Linked DNA regions of Mus musculus: region 2 is reported to be linked to region 1. The links are microRNA targets in miRTarBase. Many come from high-throughput screens and were not tested one by one. Region 1 holds a microRNA gene; the other region holds the end of a gene's coding sequence.

What was found. The annotated mature microRNA mmu-miR-3086-3p reads CCCAAUGAGCCUACAGUCUAAG and lies in region 1 at 2,373-2,394, shown strand. An mRNA with a match to its seed (bases 2 to 7 or 8) in the 3' UTR can be bound and repressed. Matches are read on the target gene's strand: a 7mer-m8 pairs with bases 2 to 8, a 7mer-A1 pairs with bases 2 to 7 and ends in A, and an 8mer does both.
Region 2: miRTarBase lists Maoa as a target of mmu-miR-3086-3p. Seed matches in the 3' UTR shown: 7mer-A1 at 2,362-2,368 and 7mer-A1 at 2,472-2,478.

Annotation. Positions count from the first base shown.
Region 1 is chr19:58,908,697-58,914,079 of GRCm38, reverse strand. Mir3086 (microRNA 3086) reads left to right here and starts at 2,321; the gene lies at 2,321-2,407. It also overlaps a transcript of Hspa12a not described here.
Region 2 is chrX:16,684,878-16,690,260 of GRCm38, forward strand. It overlaps Maoa (monoamine oxidase A), which reads left to right. Exons shown (of 15, transcript NM_173740.3): 14 at 105-167; 15 at 355-2,935. The coding sequence ends at 498. Among named protein-coding and RNA genes, the nearest start is that of Maoa, 68 kb to the left of the region's middle.

The DNA of each region.
Region 1 (5,383 bases):
TGTCAACCACATCAGCCTTCCCAGAATTGTAGGTTTTGCAGAACCTGAAAATGGAGCTTGTTTATTTGGTCAAATTTAACTGCGAATCATAGGCTTCTGCAACAGAGAGAAAAAGTCAAAACAGATTGCAGGCGGGTCGCGTCCTCGGCGGCATGCTTGTCTTCTGCCTCGCATCTCGCCCAGCCCCGCATAGGCAGTTGAGTGTGGGAGATTGTAAGGGTGCTGTCTTTGGATGCCACCTTTGCTGTTTGCATTTAGAAAGACTGTTGATGAGAGCTTCCTTTCGGATGGAGAAAATACTGACACGGATCAGAGACCTGTAAGGTGGCAGCGTCATGGAGCCCAGAGAACCCAGGGTCACCAACGAGACTTGCTCTGAAATTGCCCCATTTTCTCCGGCTGAGAGAGAATCTATCTGGGAGACAGAGCGCAAGGCACCTCAGGGTAACTGTTGGCATCCAAATGAAAAAAGGAGAGAATTCGGAATGTTCCCAGGTACCTATGAGCACTGGAGGCTTTTCATAAAGCCAGAAAGAGTCCCCACATAAGGGTTGCCAGGGCTTCATGCCAAGCTGAGACTGTGTTCCCTGGACTCAGTGGGGCTTTGGCACTGACTGAGACAGAAGAGCCCACTACACCTAATCCATTTGTGATGGTTTGGCGACAGCCTTGGTGACGGTGACGGTGAAGTCTCTGAGTTGTCCCACAAGTCTAGGAAAGCAGCTGGCTGTCAGCTCTCAGAACTGGGGTGAGTGGGTAGGAAGGCTGAGGCCACCACAGAAAGCTTTTGTCTCTCTCTCTCTCTTAAGGCCACCTCGTCACTGGGGAAAATGCACTTGGCTAGCACTGAAGCCAGGGCCAGCTTTCCTGTGTGTCATTTTCTGGGAGAAGCAGGTTTCTATTTAATCCCTCCCTATGGTGGGTGTGTGGAAGGAGCTGTATCAGGAAGCAGAGTTCCTAACGGACACCCCAGAGGGAACCGAACCAGAGCAATGAAAGATCTTCCCATGCCATTGTTGTATCTCCCAGGAGATGTAGATCCCAAGTAGCATGTGGTTCAGGTTCTAGGACGTCCTCACGTCTTTCTGAAAGGAAGGAGAGAACTCATCTGCAAGCTGGTTCTGGGACCGTGCTCCAGGCAAGCATTCAGACCACCATGCCACTCCCTTGTGAAACTTGCAGTCCATTGTCAGGACACAGGAAAGCACAAGTGTTCACATAGGTGCAGAGCCAGGGTGGGCCAGGGGCTCAGTCTCACTCTCAGGACAGTGTGAGCATTTCTCACAGCCGAGAGACTGATGTGTTCTGTGTCAGAGGCCTCTTGTTCCTCTCCCTTTAAATCAAACCTTGTAAGGGCGGAGGAACAAAGTGTGTGTGTGTGTGCATGTATGCATGTATGTGTGTGCGCGTGCGTGTGTGTGTGTGTGTCTGCTCACATCACCCAGCTGGATGTGGAAAGGTAGAATCTGAATCCATACCTCTTGCCTTCTATGGGATATTTAATATTCAAGCTAATTCTCAAAGCTACTGTCCAGTGGATTAAATTGACAGAAACTGATTTTTGGGGACCACTCCAGACTGGAAGGTGAGCTGAGAGCTGAGTATTTGGCTCCAGTGTGTTTGCATTGGGGGGCAGTGAGGCACAGAGATGACCCCTGCCTGAGTTTTGCCTGTCAAGTCCATATTCAGTAGTGGAAGATGCCTTTGAACCTAGGAGGGTAAAGCGAGCTTCTCGGCCAGGCTGTAGGAGGAGGCAAGCAGACTCCCTATGATGGCACGGGCTCAGTGAGTTCCAGCAATGACCATCTGGCCAGCTAGCTATGTCTCTCCCCCCTGATCATGGCCTAGGTGGAAGAGCTTAGTCCTGGATGAGGCCGTCTAAGCAGGAACTCAAGCGGAAGGAAATGGCTGTCTGGGTCAAGGTCAGTTCATAGGAGGATTAGATTTTATTCAAAGACAATAGTATGAGACACAATATGGCTTTAATTCCAGTTCAAAGAGACAGCCCAATTTTTGAGTTTCAGCGTAATAGATGCTGTCTTGAAGCTGGGCAGGACCTCCCACCTTCCAAGTGTGACAGCTAGCTGTCCCTCTGGTCCTCTCAGAAGCTGCCACTAAAACCAGTTCCTAGCCGGAGCTGAAGGATTCCATTTGTTACAGGGAATATTAGTTAATTTTCTATTGCTGTGATAAAACACCTTTGACTCAGAGCCATGCGTTTACCACAGTTGGCCTCTTAGGTTCTGGGAGAGAGCTGCATGCCTGTCCAGTCATAACACATAGTTGAGAACCTGAGGCGCCTGAGTGCCTGAGTCTTGGACTGCCATCCTACACTTAGATTGTAGGCCCATTGGAAGGGTTAGCGTCTTGACCCCAATGAGCCTACAGTCTAAGTGTGGGATGGCGGAAGCCCTCAGCCAGACTGGTAGAAGTAGGGACTCCCACAGAGATGTTTTGCAAAAAGACATAAATGGCTCCATAGAGAAAGCTGGGGCTCCGCCTGGTGGCCGGCTGCAGACAAACAGTTCTGTCAGCCGAGGTTGGGAACAGGAAAAGCATTCCCCTCTGGTGGGTTTCACTTCGGTGGGATTTCCTGGGAGGAACTCTAGAAGAATCACCAAGAGCAGACACATCCTGGGAAAATGAAATAAAAACGTCTTCATGGCGAAGGCCCTGAGTACTTACCACTGCTAATCATCTTTAAGGGGGAGGGCATGAATGGACAGATTGACACTTTTCTGGTGGCCAAATACGATTCTGCTGAAGCTGTACAGGGCGACTACCCCTTCAGTTGCTTCCGGATCCTGCTCGTCCTCCGAGGAGAGGGTGGGCTGGACTGAGTGTCTTAGTTCTTGGGGACTGGATGCCTTGTCTCCAAATCTCTGCCCTTTAGCTTAGCTAGGACATTGCAAAATCGACCATAGGGGTGGGGATTCATTTCCTGCCCTGTGTTAAGTGAGGCTTTCGTTGGGGGTGGGGGTGGGGGGAGGAAGCAGCTTTGTAAGCCCGGGCAGTCAGTCTTGCGCCCCCTGTGTTTGTCTACATTGAGGCGCTTGTGCTGGTGAAGGTGAGGGACATGGAGAGTGGGGATGTGTGTGTGGCATCCAGGGCAGCAAGAGGCCAAGTGTGGGAACGGAGAGGTAGCTGTGAAGCCTGCTCTACCTCACTCCACGGGGTTAGTCATTTATCTCAGGGCTATTTTTAGAGCCATAATCTGAATTACGTTTCTTACGTTTTAATTATTAAAGAGTTATTACTAATTATGATCTTGATAATAACCGACCTTTACTGAGTTCTGAGTAAGCACCTAGGACTTCAGATGCCCTACAAGCTGTATTTGTAAAGCCTGATCTTGAGTTGTGTATAAATTCTTTGATTTGCATAACAACAGGCACTATGACTTCCAGTGTAAACATAACCTTTTGCCACAGAAAACCACAGTATTATTTATTTCATATTTCCCTTTGAATTCTGTCTTCTTCCCAAATACAGTTTAAAAGGAAGCCATATTTCACTGCTATAAGTGGAAAACTAGCAGTACCTGTCTTTAGTAAGCAGAATCTATTGTTTAACTTTAATTAAATAGCCATGTGCCCAAAATACCATTGGAACTCAGCGTTTGAGCTGCCTGCAATGTGGGTGGGTGGACCTTCCACACCAGAAACCCTGCAAGGAAAAAGGAAGCCATTTTGCATTTTGTGAAGGTCTCTACCTGGAGAACTTTTGCATTTATTTTGCTTTATTCAAATTCTGAGGTGGATGCTTAACTTTGTAAATATTTAGCTTTTCTTTTTTTCCTTTTCCTTTCTTCTCTTCTCTTCTCTTTTCTTCTTCTCCGTCTTCTTCTTTCTTTCTTTCTTTCTTTCTTTCTTTCTTTCTTTCTTTCTTTCTTTCTTTTTTTTTGCCCAGGCTGTCCTTGAAGTCATGGTATAGCATAGGATAACCTTAAAGTCCTGATCCTTCAGCCTTCATCTCCTGAGTCTAGGGTTACAGGTGTGTGTCACTGCCCACTACTCTTGGATTTCTTTAAACACACACACACACACACACACATATAAACACACACACATATACACATAAGCACACATACACAGGCAGGCATATACACATATTCACATACATGGGCACACAAACACATACATACACATATACACACAGCAACATACACACAAGCACTCATGTATACACACACAGAAACACGTGTACACATGTACACACATACACACACATATATACACATATACATACAAACACACACATGCACACATAAATACACATACAAACACGTACATATCACATACAAATACACACATACACACAAAACCACACATATACACACATATTCATACACAAACCCATACATATTCACACATGCACACACGGAAACATATACACATACATGCATACACATATACACACACACAAGCACACACATACACCAGCACACACACTCTCTCCACTGCTCTGGCTTCTTGTAGACTTTAATATGAAGATATGAGGTATTTATTTTTTCAGTATTGCTTAATTCTTCTCGTTTATGTTGAAATGCAAATACTCAGAGTCCACCTTGTTCCCAGGCATTCTGTCACATGCGGGCACAAGCTTTTTTTTTTTTTTTTTTTTTTGGTTTTTCAAGACAGGGTTTCTCTGTGTAGTCCTGGCTGTCCTGGAACTCACTCTGTAGACCAGGCTGACCTTGAACTCAGAAATCCGCCTGCCTCGGCCTCCCAAGTGCTGGGATTAAAGGTATGCACCACCACTGCCCGGCCCCCCACAAACATCTTGATACACATGTGTTGTTCTCCTTTCTGTCTGGCAGTCTTCCTGAAGACTTGCAGAGAAAAGCCTTCAGAAGGTGGCGTTTCTTTTCTGTCTGATCTCGGTTAAAGTGTCCTCTGTGTCTGATGCTCAGCAGCTTCAGTAGGATAGGCCAAGTGTGGATTTCGTTCTTCACCTTGTATTTTTGGGCCTAGGGCTTGATAGCTTTGGTAACTTCTAGAAGGTTTCTAGCCACATCTCTGCCATGCCATTTCCCCTGGTCTACACACCCTTGCTTCCTGACATCCCCTCACATCTTGCAGTTTTATTCTTTAATGGTCAGTTCATTTGCACAGTTTTTCCAAATACCGATTCTCTTATCTGAGGTCTGTCTGACCATCACACTTTTCAGTTCTGGCAGCAATCAGTTCCTTCTTCTCCATTCTCATATAGCCAATGCTACCCTCTCTATGTAGACAAGGCTGCCATTTAAGTCCCGACCTTCCTGCCTCTACCTCCTGCATGGGATGGCTAGCCGTCTTGGTTTTGTTTTTTTTTTAAATATGTCTGGACTCTTGACAATTTCTTGTTTCCTGAACATATATCCAAACTTGCTTTGAGGTGA
Region 2 (5,383 bases), not on the chromosome of region 1:
ATTTCTTTGCCACCCACCTGTGGGTTCACCAATGTTTAATATGATTTTGAATCTGTTAACAGTATATAATGTCACAGTATAATGCTGTAATCACTTTCTTTCAGGTCTTGAATGCTCTAGGAAAAGTTGCCAAGAAGGATATATGGGTTCAAGAGCCTGAGTCCAAGGTAAGTTTGATTACTCCATATCTACAGACCAACTACAGCACATAAAATTGCACTGTCCTTCATTTAGCCTCTGCTTTTACTATAGATGCAACTGTCTTAGCATAGAAATACATACTACTACAGATAGGCTTTGTTTCTTTTAACTATAGCAAGAATTTCTATTAATGATCTGTGTTCATCTGTTTAGGATGTTCCAGCTCTTGAAATTACCCACACCTTCTTAGAGAGGAACCTGCCTTCCGTGCCTGGTCTGCTCAAGATCACTGGTTTTTCCACTTCTGTGGCTCTTCTCTGCTTTGTATTGTACAAGTTTAAACAGCCCCAGTCCTGAAGTTTTCACCCACAGGCCTCCTGCTTGATCATCCTTAGCACAATGAGCATGTAAAGGAAAGTGAGGATGAATTACAGCCTGTGGTTTGGGCAATTTAAGTGCACTTGATTTAACCCTGCTCAGTTTAATTTCAGTCTTTGTAAAGTGGTAACAGTCCAAAGAATCACCTAGCTAATTTCCATAAGAATGAGTTTCATCTTGTTTGTTAGACTAATTTGTGTTGGTTGATAGAATAAAATGTTGAGTGCTTAATTTCAAAAAGTTAAGTGCTTATGAGGAATAATTTCTGGATTCTGTTTTTTTTTTTCTTTTGCCTTTAATGCAAAACAGCTAATGGTTTCAGAAATAAAATAACTTGACTTACTGTGACTTTTGTGTAGCATCCAATGTGTACAGAGGAAAATAGTGGCTGAAATGTTCCCTAGGTATCCTCACTGATTACTAGTTCCATGTGACGCACACTACAATAGGCACTTCCTTTTCTGGACTGTATCTAGACAAGCATTGCTCCTTGTCAGTAACATTCTGTGCTGATTTAAGGAAAGTAGCATTATTTTAATGTGTTCTATGGCTGTCTGATCATAGAATTAGATTTCTAAGCCTACCTGTGTCTTCAAAATGGTTAAATATTTGTCTTGGTTGATAGTATACCATTTTCTCTCAAGTGCCAAAGGACATATGAAATTTTCTCTGTTGTTACAGTCAAACACAGAATGAAATTAGGGCTCTGTGTGATAACATGACCTCTTTTAATTATTAGGTTTTATAACAGACATTAAATTGAATGATTTTATATATCTGTACTGGGTTCTATATCTTAGTAGAGTTGTGGGTCCAGAATGGTGCCTGTATTTTTTTCTTTCCCATCTGAAATCCTGTCAATTAAAAAAAAAAATTCCAAAGGTTTCAACCACAAAGCACTTTAAAAAAAAATGTAAGTATAGTTTTTATTTAAGGAGAATTATGTCAGCATATGCTGGCCAACCCAAGTTTATTATACTAGCTTTATCCAAAATGTAAATTTAAGCCTCTAGATGCTGATGTGTGGACTTACAGCCTTTAAAGTTTTGCCCAGTCTAAGAGCAAAGATCTAGATTTCTTACCTTACTCTATCTTATAATTCAAAAGCATTTTAACTAACTTAAAAGATTCAGTGATGTCTTAGATGTTCTCCAGTCCATAAGGTGTTGCCTCAATTCATATCAAACTGTAGTGAGAGCTCTCAGCACTAATCTGCTCCAGTTGTGTGTATTAACTTAGTCGTGACTCATCTTGAAATGATTTAAAGGAGTGGATAGGCAAGAGGTCTAAAAGTATTCAGATTGTTAACACTAAACTGTTGAATATTGAAAACCTCCTGAGTTTGCAGTTTACTCTCTGCTTTTTAGAAAACCAGTTGATCTATCCTAATGATATCAACCCTATTAAGCTACAGTCTGGGTATTAAAATGATTTCCAGTACAGCCCATGTGTTTAGACATGTAACGGGAATTAAGAAGCACTATATGTTTCCAATTCTAAGAAGGGGCAAAGTGTCCACACTTTGGTCTATGTTCTTCTTCAGTTTCATGTGTTTTACAAATTGTCTCTTATATCTCGGGTATACTAAGTTTCTGGGCTAATATCCACTTATCAGTGAGTACATATCATTTGAGTTCTTTTGTGATTGTGTTACCTCACTCAGGATGATGCCCTCCAGGTATAACCATTTGCCTAGGAATTTCATAAATTCATTCTTTTTAATAGCTGAGTAGTACTCTAGGTGCAACAACATTATGAACTAACCAGTACCCCAGAGCTCTTGACTCTAGCTGCATATGTATCAAAAGATGGCCTAGTAGGCCATCACTGGAAAGAGAGGCCCATTGGACACTCAAACTTTATATGCCCGAGTACAGGGGAACGCCAGGGCCAAAAAGTGGGAGTGGGTGGGTAGGGGAGTGGGGGAAGGGTATGGGGGACTTTTGGGATAGCATTGGAAATGTAATTGAGGAAAATACGTAATAAAAAAATTAAAAAAAAAAGTAGCACTATATGTGAGGCTGTCTACCACAAAGTTAACATTGCCCTTTACTTTGCAACAGAGAAACAAAAATCATTTCAAGAGATTGATAATCCCCTTCATAGATCTGATGGCCAGTTGGCCTTTCTCCATAGTTAGGATGAGAATTGGTTTTTTAAAAGTACATCTTTTTGTCATAGCTGTTAAATATGATCTCATATTACACTGAATAAATTTAAACTTTACTGAAGGACTGTGAACTATGTTTTGCTTGATGGTTGTAAACTTGGTACCTAATGTTCCACGTAAAAATAAAGTTGGCCACAGAGCTACATATGGGCATATGCATATGTATTTGATTTGCCACTGAAGTAAGATATTGTCTGTGTGGTACTGAGTTTTGTTGTTGTTCTTAATAAAATGTGATGCCATCCTTCATTCAGATAGGCTTCTCTGATTTGGCTAATAGTTTATCAAAAGCTTCAAATGGCTTCTTATTGCCAGAAGTCTACAGAGGATGAACTTTTTAAAAGCACCTGATAATGCAACTCCAAATTCTTAACACTTGGTTTGATCTTCATGTAATGAAGGTTGACTGGGAATAGATCAAATGCTATAATACTATAGTAGGCCTGACTGGGCCACAGGTGTGGATTTTGACAAGTTTTCTCACCTAACTACCTTACGATGCCTTGGGAAAATCATTTGGTTTCTCTGCCTCAATTTACTCATGTGTGGAAAGACAGTCCTGTGCTTGATATCGTCTATGTGATTAATGTATTCTATTGCTAGCATTATTTCTTATCACTTTTTGGATTTCCTAGGAATAGACCAAGATGCTGAAAGTTTGCTAGAGACAGCATCCTAAAAAGGATGAGGAAGGTAAGTTTGTGCAGAGGACAGTCAGTGTGCAATGCAGTTGCAACTGAAAACTCAGCACATTCGAATGGGAAGGTAGTAAGGTTGTTAAGACTTCCCTTCACCCCCTATCAAGGCAAGATCTAGGTTTTAGTCCTTCTATCAGATACTCTATGGAAGGGAGTGTGATTACAGACAAGACAGGTCCAGAAACAATTTGTAATCAGAACCTACAACTGCAATTTTCAAGTCCTAATGAGAAATTGGGATCAGCCTGTCTTCGCAGCAGCTGGGGATGCAGGATGTCATTTTCTGCAAGACAATCTAGTTCTGCAAAGCACAGAAAATAACTTTGTCAAGTATAAGCCATTTTGGACTTGAACTTTGAGTAGTGTCACTATCTCTATGAACCTGTCCCTATTAAAGAGAAGGCTTTATTTCTGCATTATTTTTTATAAAGGAAAAAACAAGTTTAAAGGAACCCTGAAAATGACTTAAAGGATAACCCTACCTACACATTACTAGCAAAAATCAAAGGGAAAAATATATGCTTACAACTGGCCTCTTTGGGTAGAGGAAATGCCTAGCCTCACTGAGACTTGAAGTGCCAGGGTGGGGATACCCAGAGGGACTCTTACCCACTCAGAGGAGGAGAGATGGGGAAAGTATTGTGTGAGGAGGTGACCAGGAGTGGGGCAGTGAGTGGGATGTAAAGTGAATAAATAAAAAATAAAGTTAAATTTAAAAAATTTAAAAAGACCCAAATAGTTGTCCGCAATAATCAGCTAAAAGTGAATAGCAAGCATGAGAGACCTTATAGAGAAGTAAAGACTAGATGACCTAGGAGTTATGTGTCATTCTGAAAGGTAAGAATTCCTTTTGATAATTGCAGGCCAATTAAAGGTGCTGCTAAAAATTTGCTTGATATGACTAAATTGTTCTTGGGTTCCTGATTCTTTTTTTAAAAATCCAGTTTATACCACCTGAATGCCAAATTGTTTTTGGATGCTTTACCCACTGAGGAAGGAACCACAATACCAGCAATCATTGAGTAAAATTACCAGGAGTGGGTAAAAGAAGATCAAACAACAAACCAGAAAACATAGCAATAGCCCTCTTTAGTGACAGCCCTAGCAACACTTCTTCTGTTCGTATGTCCTGCCCATACAGGCATATCCACATAGCCATGTCATGGCTGGCAAGAGCAGTGCCAGACATCATGTGGGGAAAGGCGTGGAGAGAATTCTCATCATTCTATAGAAACTACCCGTTTGATCTGTGCTGACTGATACAATTCTAGTAAACAGGACAACAATGTGAAATAGGTTAAGTCTGAAACTAATGCGGTTCACAGTACAGAAAGAATCCATAAAGAATCCTTAGACAGAAGAACCTGGTGATTCCTCAAAAGGAGGGCACTTTGTAACAACAGTTTTTTCCCTCTCACATGGGGCTTTTGTTCCCTTTGGCAAGGCCTTTTTTTTTTTTTCTCGTCTAAAGATAAGGCAGGACGACTCAAGTGATAACTCTGTGTGTGTGTGTGTGTGTGTGTGTGTGTGTGTGTTTGAATCAGAGTGATTGATTAAACTGGAGTCAAATTTCTGAAGGTAGCTTTGGAGGCCTCATGCAAAAACTTTGGATAAAGGATACTTCTAGACCTCCCTTAAGTCATGTGTAAGCATTTTGCCTACTGACTTAAATTCTTTTACAGTCACACCTCTGTGTGAAACAGCTTTTCCTATTAATGAGCATAAGATATTTCTCATGAACCACTGAAATTCATAAATGGAATGGGGAAGAATGAAGTGGTATGGCATGGGTGTATACTGGGGGAAGGGAATGCTGATTGAGGATGAAAGGAGAATGGGAAAGATGCTTAAACATCCATGGAACATCACACTAATTCTTGTGCGCACCCGACTCGACCAGCAAGAACTATGCTGCAACAGGATCCTTCTGCACATGTTTATTGGGAGAGCTTGATTGCAGAGGCGAATTGACCCGAGCCCAGAACTGGTGCTGCTT